Styela clava: one gene and its partner. The protein of the gene in region 2 purifies or fractionates together with the protein of the main gene of each other region. This does not show direct contact. Links are inferred from orthologs where the notes say so. Each region holds a gene or a part of one and is shown on either strand. Other genes may lie near its edges.

Evidence for each region.
Region 1: the proteins of BPTF-associated chromatin complex component 1-like (region 2) and nucleosome-remodeling factor subunit BPTF-like purify together in Homo sapiens (affinity purification with mass spectrometry; 5 studies listed by BioGRID and IntAct, with this or other methods). This does not show direct contact. The link is inferred for Styela clava from reciprocal best matches to the Homo sapiens genes BACC1 and BPTF.

What each region holds. Positions count from the first base shown.
Region 1 is NC_135262.1:1,333,886-1,344,668, forward strand, and holds the start of nucleosome-remodeling factor subunit BPTF-like, read right to left. Parts: upstream 3,877-10,783; 5' UTR 3,770-3,876; coding exon 3,618-3,769; intron 1,867-3,617; coding exon 1,810-1,866; intron 447-1,809; coding exon 314-446; intron 1-313. UniProt on the Homo sapiens protein: Regulatory subunit of the ATP-dependent NURF-1 and NURF-5 ISWI chromatin remodeling complexes, which form ordered nucleosome arrays on chromatin and facilitate access to DNA during DNA-templated processes such as DNA replication, transcription, and repair.
Region 2 is NC_135258.1:20,124,390-20,134,246, reverse strand, and holds BPTF-associated chromatin complex component 1-like, read left to right. Parts: upstream 1-5,829; 5' UTR 5,830-5,971; coding exon 5,972-6,004; intron 6,005-6,516; coding exon 6,517-6,608; intron 6,609-6,675; coding exon 6,676-6,777; intron 6,778-7,216; coding exon 7,217-7,364; intron 7,365-7,525; coding exon 7,526-7,834; 3' UTR 7,835-8,454; downstream 8,455-9,857. Other genes in the region: protein disulfide-isomerase TMX3-like, read right to left, coding at 1,297-2,724. UniProt on the Homo sapiens protein: Component of chromatin complexes such as the MLL1/MLL and NURF complexes.

The DNA of each region.
Region 1 (10,783 bases), on a different chromosome or scaffold from region 2:
ACATAATAGAGTTGGCACATCTATGCCACGATGTTGTTTAAAGTAAAAATTTTTGTCGATATGTGAAAGGTATGAAGATCAGCCCTCTATAGCGGACACACCTATGTCACACCCAATTGGAGTACAACATTGTCAAAAGAGGAGTAAATTATGTCCAGACTCCTAACACACCAACCTCCTCAGACACCCCAATAATAGGTAAATATGCCTATGTCACACATATTTGCAATTCAACACAGTACACATGCCTCTACCCCACCCACATTTTAGGCCACACCCATATCTTTCTAAGCCACGCCTCTGACACACCCACCTCTTCATCCTCTTCAGGAGACACATAATCAATTTCGAATTCTTCATCTTTCTCCAAAACCATTTTAAATTTTTTCTTCTCATTTTTTGATTCTTTGTCTTTTTTCTTGTTCTTTAATTTTTTGGAAGATTTGCTGAAGTTTGAAAGAAAAATAAACATTATTTGAAAGTTTATTTTTCAAATTTAAATGCGATTACGATCAGGTTAGAGATATGTTTTCTAATCGCACATATATAAATTCAAATGGGATAATTAGACGCAAAACTCCAAGATACACAGAGTGGTTCACATGACAACTGGTCGATTATGAATTTCTTTCCCATCAAATACATCTAGACTCGGGGCCAAAAAATTTGCCCACCTAGGCTAGGGGGCCATGTGAGTGTGACATAAAAAGATACATTTTATGAACAATATTTACAGTGTTACAAAAGTAAAAGTGGAAAACAATGAACCCCGTGCTAAAATTAAACTCAATCGCAAAATAGCTTAAAGTTTTCATTGTTTCACTCTGAACAAGACTCAAGACAAGCAGATACTCGTACATGATGGGGTAATACAATTCTAAAAGATGGAAAACCACATATTCGCTCCCAATGTATTGCACCCACAAGATAGCTCAGATTGTTTGTTTTTTTTACAAAGGTTTTCAGAAGTGTTCTTGTTTTTTATTTGGGGAGGTATATCGGATTATTCTTCCAAATAACTTTGAATATTTTTGTCCAGGTGGATCATTTTGCAGCAAAATATAATGCCCGATATATAAACATTGGGCTCTTTGGTGTCAAAACATATCTCAGACTCAAAACCAATGATCTATACCTCACTCAGGGTGGAATAAACGAGTCGGGCTATTCTAAACACAAAGTAGATACTGACATATTGTTAGCTACTTGTCTAAAGCCTACTTTGGAGCAAAGAGGTTCAAATAAAATTTATTAAGTAGATTTCAAGAATTCAGAATTTTATCTATAAATTATTAAAACGAAAATTGTAGTATGGCATTAATTATGTTCAATTTTAACTGTTTTATATACCCAGAATCCAAATCATTTTGTACTGTAGCCCATAGGCGTATCTACGAATTTTCAAAAGGGGGGGAGGGGGGGGCTCTGGATTTTCTGATTGCCAAGTTAGACAGCATGAGCTAGCAGGTCCGGTCGGAGGCCAGAATAAGCGGCTTTTAATGAATCTTGAGAGTCTGAAAGCTAAAAATGCCTTTTTTACGTTTCAAAAGGATGCTCCCTTCACCCCCTCTGGCTACGCACCTGGTACAGCATGAAAGAGTGTGGGGCTCAAATGTGTTGAGGGGGTTGCGGATTAATTATCTTGGTTTTAAACCCATGCCTACAACCTCGCCACCCTAAATGTAATAAATACCCAATGCCGAACTAGAAAGGTGTCAGCCTTCCCGAAAATATATTCAGTAAATGCTTATACAGGGCCTTATTCGGGGTGAACACATGTTTAAAATGCTGACTCATCAGTTTTTTTACCTGTTTGTTGATAGACTTGAAGGTGTTGATGCTCGACTGCTTCCTGGACTTTTGTTGCTAAAAAATAAATGATAGGTATTAAAAATCAAACAACAACAACTTGAAGCAGAAAGAGTACGAATAATGTTACGAGTGAGTAAGAATGAATAATATTTCTTTGTAAGTTGTGGGAAAAGTTGCCAGACAGAAACCACTGGTTCCCTATACAGAGTGTCCATAAAGTCCCTTCACCATTTTAATTCTGTTATGAAGTCAGTTCTCAATATATCTTAACTATGTTTGTTATTTTTAATCAGTAATTGTTCAGGTATTTTTACTTCATTCAATACATCTGTGAGGGTCAAAACAATACATGGTATCGACAAATTCCCTTTAAAAAATTTCAAGACTTTAAGGACACCCTGTATATATATAAATAAGATCAGATATATTCTATAATGGCATGAATTCGCGATTGATTTGCCGACCAAGCCGATATATAGAATTAAATAAATGTCAAACAAGTCTTTTCGGACAATTATAAAAGCATACTGAAGAACAACTTTTTAAGCACTTTTTTTGAATAGAAATTCGAAACTTCGGCAAATTAAATCGTTTTGCTATACACCAGTTGTGCTTCACTTATTTCCGACATGAATATACTTGGTGACAATCATGCGCTATTTTTAAGCATATTTTTCTCATATTTTCAATGTTGATTTTCAGAATTTAAATTCGCCAACACATTTACCACACAAAGTGTTTAATTAACAACTTTAACTGGGATTGTTAGGTCAATTCCAATTTTTTTACAAACTCTTTATTTTTTTTTAGCGAATTAAAAATTAGGTTATTGCTTTTATAGAACAATATTTAGTGAAATGCAAAAATAATTCAGTCTTCTATCCTGCAGAAACATTTCGACTTCGAACTATACTCCAGAGGGTACATTGCGCAGAATTTTCCTATTATATTTTGAAATTCATTACATATATGGAATTGCCTCTTTATTAATCAAATTGAAATCAAATGTTTTGTGTCTAGTGTTGAACTGCATTTACTGGCAGATAATTCGTCAGCATAATTTTATGAAATTTCAGCCATTGCCATTTGTACCCTGATGTAAATAATTTAGCCGGGTGTATTTATACGACAAAGATTTGAGCAAACTTTTATAAAGGAAGAATAAGAAACAGTATTTGTGAACAATTCATATCATTTTTTAAAGAGACATCTAGACTAGAAGCAAGACCAACTAAAACTATAAAGACTTGGCTATAATAGCTTTATGTTCACGAATATTAAAGGTGTTACGGTAGGCTTCAAGACATTTGTATCAGAAGATACCTGCTGACCTGAGAGAACAGCCAGGACAAACACCAATTGCAAAATTGAGTGAGACAATAGCTTATTGTGCATCAGTACTTATGTCTACAAATGCACACACAGATGAAGCTATTGCTGTATTGCCTTACTACCCAATGCTTCCCTAGCTTTGTTTCAAAGAAGGGTAAAAATAATTAATAAAATTAAATCAACACACAATTGACTTCCGCATTTAGGAAATCCCAAAACCCTTTCAAAAAAAATAGGGGTCTGCAACCCAAACTGTCAAAAAAAAACTTTCCCGCGTCTACGTTGCGTAAATTCGGTTCAAAATGGTTTCCCGGGAAAAGCCGTTTGTAAGACTTGCTCGCCGGGTAAAATTTTCAAAATTTCGACAAAAAGCACGTCCAAGGGTGATCAAAATCACAAGACACGGTTGAGCAAGCACAGTGACATCACACAACAACAATTCTTAATGACCTCACAGTGACGTCATCATTTACCTTGGCAACAACTTTCGGGTTGCCGCAACCCACCCAGGTGAATTTGTCAATTTCTTCAATTCCGCGTTGACTTTTTGATCTCCGGCGAAACAACTAATCCATTCACCCTCTCCGTTTCGTTGCTTTTTCTTAAACATTTTCAATTTCTCCATTTTCCACCCAAAATTATTGAATTAATATCGGTAACTAAGGACAAATCACGTATATTCCATCGCCATTGCGTCACTAGACCGCCGCCATTAAAAAACGTCCAGGCACCTCGCCGTTGAATGTCACGTGATGCGCAAATTAACGATAAGCATACTTGTCGATAGTTCAGCACAGCGCTCCATAATGTAATTTCGCCTAACTCGCGATGTTTTCATCGTATTTTTGAATATGAAATAAAGCTTATTAAATTATTTTGGCAAATATGATCTACATAACAACTGCTTTTAATCATTAATGTTTTTTCTGTTTTGCAGGATCTCAAAAATAAAAAGTGTAAAAAACAGGAAAAACTCAACTGCCCCAAATCGAATATTGTGTTAGCTAAAATGTACCCGATCATGCCTCCGATAATATGAAACGGAAATAATTGATCATAAACGTTGTTAGTGTTCATTAGTTAGAATGAGGAATTATATAGATTTAGTATAAGGCCTGAATCGAGCAAAATAATATATAATTCCACACGCCTGCTCACCAAAATATTAAATTGGTACTATAGATTAAGGCTCGGCAATAAAATTGCCAACTTCTGTTACAATAATGGTTATTGTTGTCGAATTAAAATAACAATTGAATAATGCAGTCTTGATATTGAAAAAAAGCTGAATAGATGCAAGAGAAATCTTCTTAGGCCCAATGTTGTTACTGTAATTCCGAGCGCATTGGTTGTCACCAAGAGCGTAGACAGTCCAATATTGGGGGCGGGGGGGGGGGGGGGGGGGTTGGTTGGTTTAATAGGACGCTCACACTTACTCAGGTCAGCCAGATAAAAGCGGTCACATATATGGTGACAAACAGAAGTGAGAAAAGTTTTTGGACCCGGGGCCATGTAAGTGTGACGTTAAAAATTACATTTTATGAATAATATTTGTGTAATAAAAGTGTAAAATAATGAACCTCGTGACAAAATTGAGTTTAACTTGTTTTTTAACTAAACTTTTGTTTTCAACTAAAACATGAAAATTAGGTTTTAGTTTGGTTGTGAAAGCATCCGCGGGCCATATTGAATTACCAAACGGGCCCGATTTGGCCCTCGGGCCGTAGCTTGTCCATGTCAGCTCTAAAGCCTAAAGCGAATTCGCTGTCGAAGTTATCCAAGGTATACAAAGGCGCAATTTCATCTATCTCGGTTGGTTCATTTAGTAGAGTCTGGAGGAAGGATTATTGGTAGCAACCCAAGAAACGTCCGGTTTTCGGTGAATGTGGGGTTGGAAAAGGCATATAAAATCATGTCTTACAGCAAACCCCGAAAAATTGCATTTGGAAAAAATGTTGAAAAAAAATTTACTTCTGAACCCTTAGCCCCGGCAAGATTCTAATTCTACCAAATATGAAGTAGGCTAGCTCACTACATATCGTTATTGCATAATTAATCGAAGCAAAAAGCGCGAACAATCGACATTTTTGACAAAAATTGACAAAAAGTTGCCAACTCGTCGCTACAAACAAGAGCGTAGCCAGTCCAAGTTTTTTTGCTCAATGACGTAACACTACGCTTACTCGTGCCTTTTGCTCCGAACAAAGCCAGATAGAAGTAGTCACTGATATATACCACTATCTTAAATCTCTCTGCATACTTACTTCGCTGTCGAAGCTATCCGAGGTTTTTAGGCATTCGTTTTCATCTATCTTGTTTGGCGGGAGGATTGTTAATAGCAAGCCAGATTATGTGCGGTTTTCATCAAATCGTTCAAGAATAGAGCAAAATGGTGCTGGAAAAGGCGCATGAATTCATGTCGTACTGCAAATACCGCAAAATTGCATTTAAAAAATATCATGTGACCGCAGCACATACACACGAAAAATACAAAACTGGTGTTTTCTACATGAGCGCAGAAATAAATTCGATGAAATTATTCTCAATGTAAACATGTCTACGACTCTACGAAAGAGGCGGTTTAACGAGGCTTGGTCCACAAATAAAACACACGAATGTATTGAACTTTCGGACTGTGGTACTTCTAAAACACTTAGCTAATAATATTCAATCTGATATCGTGTGGAATGCATTATTCATTTCTTTGACAGACACTGAGACTTTATCATTTACGAAATACTTTTTACAGTCAAGTACGTTTATTTTTTTGCATCATGATGATGTCATAATACATGCATAAGAATGGTTTGCGCAAATATATCTATTACGTCATAAGTAATGAAACTGTAACATGCGCACAAATGCGCGATAGTCTTTGGAGTTTATAAGTTGATGCTGCTACATGCTGATCTATTTGTATTTACCAATACAAACTGTGTTTCTGAAAATCTGAGTATTCATATGTTCATAGCAACGCCTCTAGGTATCTTGACGATAACCCAACGAGACATATTTTAATTTTTTAAAATATAATTTGATCGTACTTAGGAATGGAACGAGATTCGATATCGAATTCCCACATTTTCAAGATTCGGATTCAATACCAGCAGGTTCGCGTATTCTTGCCGAGTCCGTAGTCAATTATTTTTTCACAAATTGAAAAATCCGTTATGTACGTTCACCTTCAAAACGGCGAGTACAGACAATTCAAGATATTTATAATATTTTTACTCAAGGTATCGCAAGCTTCTTTAATCCACACCCTTTCTCGATAACTACCCCACTGACTAATCTACAGCCTACATACCAGTATTTTCCCCAGCTTTTCGTTTGAGATGGGTGTTTCAAAATAAAGGGGTGGTAGATATTTTGTTATTAGTAATAAAATTATTTGTAGCTTATATAAATGTGTTATGTGTTTGACTAATCATCTTCACCGGCATATGAGCCACTTTCTGAATATTCAAATACATTTTTATTTATGTTCAGAATTAAAGTGTGGTGTCATACCTCAACATTAGGGAGGTGTAGGGATATTACTGCTACATACTATAAACTTTTTGAGCCGCGCCCCCTTTTTAGAGTTTGTCAAGTCTCGCACCCCACCTCAAAAATAACTAGATAACAATAAGCTACAAATAACAGATAGTAGAGCGAAACACGTTGAAAATACGTGGATAGAAAGTAAATATCCAAAATGAGGCGGATAAGATCAAATCTAACAAATATATTTTTTAAAATTAGCTTCACGCCCCTTGTGAGGCGCGCCCACTATTTTAGAACCACTGTACTATGGTAATAATGTTATATTTACGTGTATATATGTGTATTAACCATTAAGCAAAACAAGCAAGCGCTGATTGTAGCCGCGCCGAGTTGCTAAATGCACCGGGAAATTTAAATTATTTTATTAAACTTAACCAAATATGATTAAATATTTTATTTATTGTGTTTATACAATACAATTTTATTTCGATCTTTCGTATACAACATAGAGATACAGAGAGAATACAGAGACAGTGGCGACAGAAAGACCGGGAACTTGGGCAAAACCTAAAGAAATGTTTATAGCGAACGTTGTAACCAGCGTTTGTGCCCATTCACTTACACTCACACAAGTGGAAAAAAATACTAAACAGTATACATGAACACGAGAAAGTAATATTCACGGGCTAAACTTACTTTTACAATGAAGATTGCGAAACACGTGGAATAATAATTATGTGTCGGTGCATGTGCCGAAATGCGAATCCTAATAATGACATCTAAGTCCCGCTTTGGCATTCAGTCATCCAGCCTAATACACGGACATGTTCACGTTACCGTTATTGCTGTGTAGCGCAACGCTAGCCTACTTACTGAAGGTGAATGCGTTATTTTGTTTGTTTCGTTGTTATATGTAAAATCAGTTCTAATTGGTCCTGTTCGGACGTTCACGCGAATGCAACATTGAACAACGTCTTTTTGAAGGTGTTATCTACAGAAAAGCATGCTTGGGCGAAAAAGTTAATTTGGATCATTTGTAATTTTGTATCGTTAGCGTCTATTCCTTTCTATTTTTCCAACTGAACCCGATATTTGGACAGAGAATATGCGCATGAACTCTCGATGACAATATGGTCAATGAAAGACAGCCGGGATCGCTTTAAATTCAGGCCTATGTAGTAAAATTGGAAACTGTAAAATTACAGGATCACAGCTACGGGGTCGTGTCTTTGGAGGCGTCCCGCTTTGAAGTCAAAAAATATGGTAACCCTACTTGGGCCTAAATGTTTACAAACTTTAAAACGCAAAAAGTACACATTAACAATCACAAAATTGAGTTTTATTGAAGTTGAAGGCAGCAATTTATTTCTCGTTTTAAGTGTGCCGTGATTTTTTTCCTTCCTAATTTGGCGCCACACGAACAAAAAGTTTGGGGCACCAGTGAAGCACAGAAATTTCCATAGAGTATAGACGACCTGCCATAGAATCACAAGGAATGCATTTATTTCAGTAGAATAGAAAACGATTGACCATACTTTACATTAATTAGCTTTTATTTCATCATAATACGGGGAAAGATGGCGTGCGGCCTCGTCATATTTTTCGTTTTCTTCTCAGTTAGGTTAGGATAGGGTTGACATAATTATCCCGGGAGAGAGAAGAGTCGATGACACGGCTTAACCATATGGCGAACCACGGTTCGGTTACCATTCCATGTCGGGTATGGGATTAGTTAGTTACTTGTTTTCGGAAGCATGGACTTGATGGTAGAGGAAGCCATAACCGGCCAGCGGTTACGTGAACCACCCAACGGCGGCGAGCAATCCAGCCATCCAAGAGATAAGACGGTCAGTTAGCAAAAGAGATATAAAAAATCAAATTGATGAACCGTCTTCCATTCTTATTATTCCTCCACCCACTGACAGAAATTTGCTCTGCAGATTACCTCGTGCGTCGTGTCGACGATGATTTCATAATAACGCATTTTTATTGTGAAAAGTAAACTAAAATGAAGCACGATTGACTCAGTGGTGTGGCGCATTGTGCTAAGCGTTAGGAATACACTCGCCACCGCACCCTGATTACACTGCGTGGGTTCGCAGGTTTGAATCCCATGCGGGGATAATTGTGTGCGAAAAAATTGCTGGACTTCTCGCCGCCATTGGGTTACGGCTTTCTCCACCATAAAGTCCGCGCATCTGAAAAACACATAACTGGCTAACTAATTCCAAACCCGACGAGAGGCAGCGGTGCCCGTCTTATTGGCTTTCCATTCCCTTAGGGCTACAATTAAAAGCATAACATTTCATATTATATGCACAAATATTCACACATTCAAATAGTTGAAGCAGCGCACACGATAGTCCCATATGAACGCTTTTTTGTTCGTTGCACATGGTTAACCCCTTTCGTACTTGACAGTGCCCGGAGTCTCTTTTCTGTAACAATTCACGCTTGGTGGATAAAAAAACGTGTTCTCATGAATAAAAAATAATACAGCTAGCAATTGGATGCAATATCACGATTCATAAAAAAATTTTGAAATACTGTAAATAAAAGTATTTATACCTTCTAACGAAAAATATAATTTTTTATCACAAAAAAGAATCTTAACAACAGTATCATAATATTTAAAACGATTCACAGGCCCATTTCGTGTCCAATGAAAGACAACACCTGACGCGAAAATAGGAATCAGCAAGGAGGCAGTTTAGCTATTACCAAACAACGAGTCTTTACCAAGTCCGCGCCTTAAAAAAGTTAATTATTCCCACAGCAGGCATGATCGGACGAAGGCCATTCTTATAATATGATTAAGTTGTCTCACCGACGAGCCTCGTAAAGGTGGACAATTTCAGAATCCAATCTCGAAAGATATTCAATCGTATGTGACTTTTTTATTGGTAAAGGTCTTCAAGGCACAAAAATTACTTGAAACATCGAACCCTCCACTCAGTTGCCGAGCGTTCACATACATTGATAAACATGTTTCAATAAATAAACGAGAATATCGGTCGGAGACCGAAGACTTATCGATCGAAAGTTAGGGGATTCCCAAAACAGCGCTCTTACGCAATAGTGACACCATGTGTCCCATCACTAATTAATTAATAAATCGCTAATTATACGAAATAATTCATCGAAAATCAATAGGCTTCTGATCCGAGCTATGATGAATGCACATGCAAAATTTGGAGCAGATTCAACCTTGCTTTCGTGAGATATCGCGTGCATCTAACAGACAGACAGACAAATACCTACCAACATACTTACTGATCTTAAGATCGATGGGTAAAAATTCACCCAGACCTTTGGCGGCAAAAAAACATGGCGGCGATTCGAAATTTTCAAGATTCAATAATTTACTATTCGAAATGCCCAGTTCTAATCCTCTCACCGGGATAAATACGAGAATATGGTTGAACGATCTGATCTACCGAGAAATCCCTCATCGCCAATAACTCACTAGAAAGAAGATTCCTATATTTGTCTGAATTCTATTGTAAAAATATGTCACCCAGACAGTTGGCGGCAAAAAAAAACACAAGATGGCAGCAATTCAAAATTTTCGTCTGGACAGATTCGAATCCACTATTCGATTGAAATGCCCAGTACTAATCTTCTCATCGGTGTAAATACGAAAATGTGGTTGAACGATCTGATTTACTCAGAAATCCCTCATTTACAAAGAGCAACTAATTTTTTCACAACGTAAAGTTTATTAGATGAAAATACACAAATAACGATCGGCAGCAACAAAGTAACAAGAGGGCAAGGAGTTGATATTGCCTAGCAGGGGACATATCTAGGGTGTGGCAGCCATGGCTTGGACATGGGTCAAAAACGCCAAAAAATCTCAATAAAATAATTTTAAATCGTAAATAATTTAAAACTCGTGTTTTGGTGCTCCCGAAGTATGCGAACCAAGACAATTTTCCTTATTTTAGTCCTATTATCAGTTCGAAGACTAGCCAAGAGCCTTCTGCAGTATTTATATCTAAAATTATGGCCTAACCTTAACCTAGTACACATATTACATTCCGATGTCCGCCATCTTGGTTTGCATACTTCGGGAGCCCCCGTGTTTTTACTTAAATAATAATGTACCGAGATGTTAATTCAACAACATTCGTTGAAAATTGTTAGTCAATGA
Region 2 (9,857 bases):
TTTTAGACGACCCAGTTTCGGGTCACGACAGGGAGGTTGGGAAACACCGACTTAGACCATTTTAAAGTGAAATGAAATATTTTGGTTAATTAAGTGATAATTCAGTGAAAACTGTTAACTATTCGAATCTGCCGTATATACCAGTATGCTCCATTTAAATCACAATTTCTATCCAACAGTAATTCTGAAACAAAAGTATTACACTAAAAATAGCAAAATCCGAAACTATTAAAATGGAATAATTTTAGGAACTCTAAATCAAACCTAACCAAAATCAAAAAATCACTGGAGTGGAAATGTGGGATGATCAAAAATGTAGCCTACATCTTACAGCAAATAAGCAGTTCCCACAATACATTGCAACTGAAATTTAGATGAATTCATCAAGAAGTACGAGTGAATGAAATAATGATTCTGAATATGAAAACAACTAAAGATTTATAGAAAATACCATTGTTCAGACAAACAAGAAAACATATTAAACTCCCAGATTACAACCGAGTAGCTTTCAAAGAGTTGTTTGAAATTTTGTAAACAAATAGAAATCATTGAATGTTTGTATGAAGGCAAGAAGTGCAAATAATTTTGAACTTGTGCATAAGGAAAAGCACACACCTCATCCTATATCAACCTCTAATTTTATTTTTCCAATGTTAAAGTACAGTCCGATTAAGACGGACAAATTTTTATATTCCAAAATCGTAAAAACAGACAGTCCCTTGTGCATATCTTGTAATGCCAGGCAAATATCCTGTGAATGGCCATTGTGTAGGCCTTGAATATAACAAAAGGAAGGTGCGAATACATTAACAACACCAATACATATGAGCAGCACAACATCAATAAATAATTGATAGTTTGATACAGAACATATAAAGTGGTTTGAAGAATAACACTAAAAATTTCAGTTTCACGACATATAACACTTCACACTGTACAGATGATCTCTATTGACTGCTTATCCTCAATCCTAAAATCTCACTAATATGCATAGAGAGGAGACAAGTTTTGGCTCAATCATGCGTGTTAAATTCCAAAAGTCAAGATCACCTTGTTTCAGTCGAACAAGCTATTGTCAAAAGCAATCACACTTACAGATACAAAATAACAGTGAAATATAATTGAAACTTTGTGTTTGCAAGTATCAGTGTATGGACCACAATATGATTCCTTCAGTAAGATATCTAAATGAAAATTTATCATCCGATTTAAAATGTGTATTGCAGTTTGGTTTGACTGAAATAAGGTGGAATCATGACAATTGGCTAGATGTAAGAGCAGTCACAGTGATTGAACTTATTTATATTTTTTAGTCTCAACTTTTGTATCATCTTCATCCATTGCTGTCTGCTCTTCTTCATCTTGAGATTCTTCAGCCTGTGACTCTTCATCCTGGGAGTCCTGTTCAACATTTCTTTTTCTCACATTTTTATCTGTATCATCTTGATACTCTGGAATCATCTCACTTTCTTCCTCTTCTTTGTCATCTTCACCAGAATCGTTTTCGGAGTCTGTATGGTAATCTCCAGCTTCGGAATCTTCCATTGTACAAAGACAATAACATAAAAAAGTGATCACAAATGTTGGTATGCCAATAACAAGACTAGCGACAATCGGACTTTCTTTAAAGAAATTTATGACTATATTTGTTGTGTCAGACACAAAACGTTTTATTTGCTGGAAAACGCCAGATCCACCTTGTGAAGCAATTTCTCCTTCAATAACTTTGCTCAAGAACCTAGTGATGTCCGATTTTACAATTTTGGTTTCATCAGAGTCACTACGCATGGTGAAATACTCGTATGTACTTGGATCAAAAACTATAAAATTCGGAGTTGGGATCGAACTATAAGTTATCTTATTTATGATGCTATCTCCCAATACCCAGCAAAATATAAATTTAGGGTGGAATAATGGGTTTCGTGATGTAGCTATATCTTTTGCAATAGTGTCCAAATATTTGTAATCCTTTTCAGCAAGAACAGCAATAGCAAATTGTTTATGTGTACCTTTGAGGGAATGGTAAGAGCTACCTGTTAGCTCATTGTAATCGGGTAGCTGCTCAGACAACATCCAATGCGTAAGATGTGCCTTTTTTATGCTTTGAGATGACAGGGGCATTCTAAAATAAGTGTCATCTTTAAAAACCAGAACCGTTGGTGTTTCTTTCACATCTGGCATGATGTCAGGTGATGCTGCAAACATATTCAGTGTCAAGAATAATTTATCTGCTACAGAACCATAGATTTCACGAAGGTCTGAGTCTTCATTTCCGACATAAAGAAAAAATACTGAATGCAGTTCACGAGTTTTTGTGAGTTCAAGAGAGTTTGTTAAAGATGTAAGTTTCGGACCTCTTGCCTTGAGAGTAAACGCAATTATGTCACTTTTTGTCCTAGCACCACGATATTCATATTCGTTGTCCCCAGATATAAACTTGATTGTAGGGAATCCCCGAACACCAAAATCACTCGACAGGGATGAATACTTTGTGCAATCCAACCTTGCTACATGCACAGGCATTGTATTTTTCATAGCTTCGCCAACTTCCATCCAAGTTGGTTCGAGATGTTTACAATGACCACACCATGGTGCATAAAACATTACCAACCATTCACCCTGTTTTTTCGCCTCACGAAATCTGTCGTCTAACTCCAAAACGACTGAATTTGCCAATCTGGCATAGAACACAATAACGAATATGCTTAAAGACTTAAAATTCATTTTTCTCTAAGATATCCTGCTAAAAAAATACAAAAGAGACATCAGTCTAGACCAGCTGTTCCGAAACTGTGGGTTGCAAAAGAAATCTTAGTGGGTCGTGAAAAGATGTGGAAAGCTTTGATTAATTATACTGGTTATTAGGATCGGTGGAGAATCGAATACGTAAATTCAAATTTGAAGATTCAATATTTTTAAAATCAGTGTTCAACTGAAATATTTCAGATATTTTAACAAAAACTTTCACAAAAGGATAGGATAGGATTTACATATTTATCCCGGGGGAGAGGAAAGGCGATAAGACGGCTTATTCATATGGCGAACCACGGCCTCTCGTCCGGTTACCATTCCAAGTCGGGTATGGGATTAGTTTTACTGTATTGTTTGTTTTCGGAAGCATGGACGCACAGAAAAACTATTTCCTTTCTTGAATCTAAATCTGGAAATAATATTGATTCTCGAATATATTCCATATTGGGCCATGGATCGAAAGAAACCATAATATTACACGAAATATAACGCATCTCTAGGTCTCTAAGCACTTATTGTATCAAACACTGTCGAATTGTGACCTGTAGCGCATGTCCCATTGAACCCCAGTCCATGTTTCGCCATAGGGAACAAATCTTTTCAGACCATCCAGAATTACCGATACCGGTAATTGTCAACTCATTAATATCAAAATATGGCAATGGGCCATCCTATTCCACATACCAAGCTACACAATCGATTCTTTCGATTGCATCACTAGGCTAATCGATGCTACCATCAATAGACGAGATTTGAAGCTCCTTTGCTTTGCCTCTATGGACCTTTCCCCGACCTTTAACCCCCGAAAAATTCTTCCCATACTTTACCATTGCAAAATTTTCGGGGCTATTTTAAGAATGCTTTTGCGAGTTGGCGCCTGTAAAACGGGGTATGTGTTTCGAACCATTATTATGATTCTTCGCATACAACAATCTGTTTTTTAAAACTACCGATAAAGAATTTTAGCCTAGTCTATCACAGCTATTTCTACACTATTTTTTTATTACTGTAATTAAATTAAAACTCCTTGGAAGACAGAGTGATCATTGAATTATCTAATTTATATTTAAGTTTCCGAAACACAACAGAAAACTAACGAATAGAGTTCAAAAACGCGAAAGCGAGGTAATGTTTATGACCACGCTTGAAAATCTGTCTGAGGTGAGGAAAGTGTCTGAGCGGATGCGAAAAGGGAGCATTGTACGTCACTTTTTGCTTCTTGCTGATTGACCAATGTCACGAAGTGACCAAGGAAGTCGATACTCGGGGAAAGGTCCATACGCTCCGATTTACGCTATTTGCCACGTTCACCAACGCTTGTTACATAACAATGTCGATAGAACGTGTCGTGCTTTGAAGAAATACTGTAAAAGCATTACATCAAAATTTTGCTTTAAATCAAAGTGCTTCTGGGCCGAAGTTGATGTTGTCTCGCGGTCCCCCTAAAATTGCTTCGCGGTCCGCCATTCTCCAGACTGAACCATCTTCACACCCAACCTTTCAAAGCTTTTCATCTGAATTCGTTTACACTTACAGCCTTGCATGTACTTCCAGCTTCATAACTAGTTTAAATAAGCAAATGCGCTATTCTATTACATATTAATCACGATTCTTTTGTGTATTTTGTGATGTGATACTGGAGTTCATTCCAGTATTTCATGGACAGCTAAAATATAGGCAAAGAAGTGTAAATAAAAGCTTTTATTAAATGCTGTGTGCGCGGGGAATGTCAACCGTCACATAACAAAATATATCAAAATCACTAATGAGCATGTGTATTATTTATACTACTTTATTATCCGGTTAATGGTCACAATAACATCCGGATATCAGATAGCAAAATACCTGTCGTTAACCGGTTATCCGGATCAATCCAGAATACAGAGGCATTAAACCACAGTTTTGCAGGTAGGCCTACATACTTTCCTCTTCGCACTATCAAAATTGCGTGTGAATGTGCTTTGACAGTGTCAAAAATTTTCCAGTCTGACTTTAGTTTTCCCACGTTCCAAGGACTCCCACAATAAAGTTTTCAAATATACTTTGTCTATAAAAGATTTTCTGAAAACGTCCTAAAAAGAACAAGGTATAATCTGTATAATATTTTTTGTTTATCGTTTAAGCAAGGTAACAATACTTAAACTGATCGAGAGTTGATCTCAAAATCCTTTCGTATTTTTACTTCCTGACCTGCTGTTTCGAAAAACGCCTCACATATCGTCGTCTGATGAACACCTAAATACGTCTTATACGTCGGCACTCTATTGCCCTAATTTAAATTTTTGAGTATTAAAAGATAGAAGAAGTCGCTAGCAAGCTATTGCTCACATTTTTTCAACTTTTTTGAATATTATAAGACCCGATAAATCACTAAATTTTGCTAGTTTTATTTCGATTGAAGTGAACTATAGTGACTATTAAAACTGGCAAAGAAAACATAGTGTCTAACATAGGTCGAATAAATGATAAACTAAATTGATAAACATCAACTTCAAAGCTGGAGAGTGGGTATAAATCACAATTTGGTGTGTTTTTACAATTATTCTTAATACTTCTAGTATCGTAATTAAAGAAAAAGAATAAGGACCCCGATATGGATTAAACGTTTTCCGTTTGTGGTAAGTCGCAATAATGGGCTGTTATACCTTGTAGTACATTAGATATCCACTCCTTACTAATCTGTATCAAAATGACAGGTCAAGTCGGGTTATCTTCAAGTTTTGTTACACTTCTCAGTTGAAGGTCGCAACCCACCAAACGGTATCGCCAAAACCAGTTATCTTTAACTGACGAGCTGGTTTGTATTAGTTAATCCATATATGTTGTATGTCTACAAGTGACCGAAAATCGACGAAATGACTAGGTGCATGAAAAAATCGGATCGCAGAAAAAAATAAATACGAGGGAGAAAAAATAAGAGAGAAGAACTATCGTTTGCACCATGGCACGGAATGGTAAAAATTGCAAAAAAATAAATAAATAAACTGCCCGTGGCACGGAAAGTGTTAAAATATATAGCAAAACGATGACGTTTTATGCAACCCTGCGATAAGTCAATTTTGAGCTCAAGGGTCGGGAAACAGCCATCGGTAAATGCACCCAGGCATGACTCTTGCTTCAAAAGTTGTTGTTTTTTCCCGGGGCTGTTCGCGTTTCGTTTTGTTCTGCTCGCTGTTGAATTTGAAGCGTTAGCCCGACTGAGTAGCTTTCAACTTTGGATATGAACATGCCTCAAACTGTGAGCGCAAACAAGGTATTATTTATTGATGTTTTATCCTGCGTGGGCTGGCAGGTTCGAATCCCGGGCGGGGTTAATTATGCGCGAGGAAGCGAAAGGATTGCTGGACTCCTCGCCGCCGTAGGGTGGTGGTTCACGTAAGCGCTGGTCGGTTACGGCACGGCTTCCTCCCCCGTCAAGTCCATACATTTAAAAACAAATAACTGAATGACGAAACTGAACAAACCATAGGCCTATAACAGTATGATGAGATTCAAAGCTTGTACCGTACCGTATTCTATGTGGTCAAGAAAATCATCTAGAGTTGAAAATGGATACCGTACCGGTACCGTACCTAATATTCCTTCACAATTATTTTCTCATTTGCTAGTTTCTGAATTATGTCATCGTCTATTACAGTATTAACCTATAATTTGTAATTTGCATGCCCAGTACTGTATATTGCCCATTGCTGCCATTATAGAAAGTAGGCCACCAGTTTCCACTTCCACTGTTCTAATTTGTAATTTGTTGAATTTCCATTGTAGGTCAGCCAGGTTTTTGCTGCTGCTGGCCAGGCCTTCAATCGTCTTGGAGAGCTAACAATGCAGTTACACACTCAATATGAAGCAGTCCCAGGGTAATAAATTCATTTTTTGAGATTTTCTAATCAATTATTTACAAATTATTTTTTTTAATTTTTGCAGTTCAAAATGGACAGAAGAAGAAGTGGAGATGCTGCGACAAGCTGTACAACAATTTGGAAATGACCTTGAAAAAGTTAGCTCTGTTATCAAAACCAGAACTATGTAGGATATATATTAAATGGAAATATTTGCATATTCCTTTTTAGTATAAATACGTTTCTGAAATGCCTATGTTATGCCATACAAAATTTGGCACTCCAGAAGTATGTGTACCAATAAGGAGGTAACGAATTTTGTTCGCCTACTTTGCATCAAGTTGTGTAGAGAGACTAGAACCTATGGGCAGGGGACTTGCCTAAAACAGACAGTCCCCGAACTCGTAGTCGTAATATACCTGAAATAAGGAGGATCGGAATAAAATTATGGCCCAACCCTAACTTGATACATACCCTACGGGAACAACTAGTAAAATGTTATATTGAATATATTACAGTTGGAAAGCAAAATGAAATTTTAACAGTTGTTGCCATGTCTTATAACTTGATGGCTTGAGACAAGGCATTCATTTCATATTGAAAAACACATATGTTTTGTGTTATAGGAGCCAAGTCAAACATGCTATAAAACGAAAAGTATTTAATGAAGCAGGAGTGCCAATTGCTCCAAAGCATCCGGCAAAGAATCCAGTATCTACCGGTAACAAGCGTCCTGCACCTGATACTCCAAAAAAAATACCAAATAAAGAAAAGGTAAAAGGCAATTTGTGATTCGTAAATTGTATAAGCAAAAAACCATTACTATGAATTAATATTTTTTTTTTATCATTACGTTTTCAATTTCATAATTGTAATATTGTTTTTCGGCGAGTTTTGTATTCGTTGTTATTTGTTCTGTTCTTTTTTCTTCACAGATTACTCTTATTGAGACTCCAGCATCCACCGTGATACCAAGCAAAAAGCAAAAGCTCTCCTCACCAGTGGAAACTCTTAATGACAATCTTTCGAATCCACCTATTGAAGTGCCAGAAGCCATAATTACAGAACAAGTTGTAACAGACTCTGTGGTTGAAGTTGATGTAGAAAATCTAGACGAGTCCTCATCATCACTCAAGAAACTAGACCAATTTATCAGTTCACAGCCCAAGATACCAGGCGACATGTCAGAGTCGGCTGTCAGCAACCCTCCACCATTACCTCCATTGGATCTTGAGCAGACATGAGTGAGTTTGGACGTCAGCAGGGTTGAAAGATGTAAGAGCTAATATCCTAGAAACACAAAGCTGTTTTCATATGTTGTTGGTCTTCTCCTTCAACTTTTGTAGTACACTAGAATGGAATAAGTCTAAAGGGGACTGGTCAATCAAATGAGACAGTCGGCCGTCCCAATCAAGCTGCTTCTCATTAATATTGACTATCATATCCAACCTTGCCTTTTCACTGGACTATAGGCGGAGGACAGCTTTAAGATGGTAAATCTTTTGTGGATCAGGGTTTTTATTGCGTAGTGTAAATTAAAGATAACAAAAATTATTGGGGGGGGATTTGAAGTTACAATCGTGGTGTTTTCAAAACCACTGGTGACTCTGGGCCAGATGAGGTTTGCATAATGGCCATTGGCAATGCAAAACTTATCTGTTTCTATTCTCCAAATATTTGAATGTTATTTTGTATTAGTGTTGTTAAATTTATTCCTTTAGTAAATGCGTTTGTGGACTATGTCCAGTTGTATGCCTGTTCTTTCCTCATGCTTCGAAATTCCATGCTGGTTGTGGTGTTGTGGGAAATTCATTTGAATTTACTTAAAATATTAGCAATAAACTTCACCAGGATTGCGAAAATATTTATTTCTGTCTGTCACGATAGTGTGATAGGCAGATTCATAGAACGTTTTTTTTTCATCAACAGTGATCAAACATGAATTCATTTAAATTGGTACCAGAATACACCAATGGTATTACCATGTCAAGCAATGGGAATAGAAAGAAAGATGTTTTTAAAGAGCCAGGAGAAGAACCACAATAGTGCAAAAAATATGACTCTCTTTTATGGAAAACGATGTTTACAAAATTTCAGGGTCGTTTATAGATTATTTTTTTTTTAGTTTTACGGATCAGAATTTTCCCAAATTCGGATCAGTGTCTTCCGCCACCCCGGCTTCCGTATCTGCTCTGCATTACGTGGCACAAACTTCGGCCCTGAGCTTCTGTACATACTATGTGCCAAATAGCATGACATTCGCCCAGGGCTTCGTCAATGCCATGCATAGCACAGCTCAACTTCCGCCGACGCGGCTTCCGTACACACTGTGTGAAAACGTGTAACACGCACACAGCATGACATCCACCGTGAAGCTTCCGATTCATCATTTCCCATTTTTTTTTTGCTTCGGTTTCATGGCAGAAGATATCCGTTAAGTATTTCCTTCCAGTTATTTTGTATGCCGAGAAATTGTATATCTGTGAACCTTTTTTCGATTACGAGAAGAAATTCCGGCTTCGGTTTCATGGCAGAAGATATCCGTTAAGTATTTCCTTCCAGTTATTTTGTATGCCGAGAAATTGTATATCTGTGAACCTTTTTTTCCATTACGAGAAGAAATTCCGAAAATTTGGTTATGGCGGCTTCTGTAATATTTCCGTCTGTGGGAGCGATGTACCGACTTTCTATAGCTAGAGAGATGTATAATTGCCTGTTTGAGTAGCACGAAACATTTTGTAACCGCAATCTCGTTTGGCCCATTGAAACTATTAAGGAATATTTGTTCTCTAGAGATTGTGGTGGTCCCGCATAGAATTTCATTTAGAAATTCTATTAAACTTGCAACATATGCCGCTATGATCTTGCAATGCAGAAATATGTGCTTAGTATTGTCACACGGATCTCTACAAAATTTACAGTTCATAACTTTTATGATCCCGAATGGGCCGTGCCTAAGGCTCATGCCTCGCCATTCGATCGCCGAAAATATAGCCGTCCTTTACTATACGGTAAGATATTATCCTTTCAGCGTTCGTATATTTGGGCCGATTCCTGAGCAGATTAACCTCCTCCCAATTGATATTTTCGTGGGGTTGGTTGTGGTGTCTGCTTTTAAGTTTCGAGTATAGATCCTTGTGCTTTGCATCCTCCCATTGCTCCGGTGATAGGTGTTTATTGGTATTTATAGGTAATAGGTCATTTATGCATTGCCCGCGCAGGGCTAGCATATGCGCAAAATTTAAATCCACAATCCTTTATAGACTC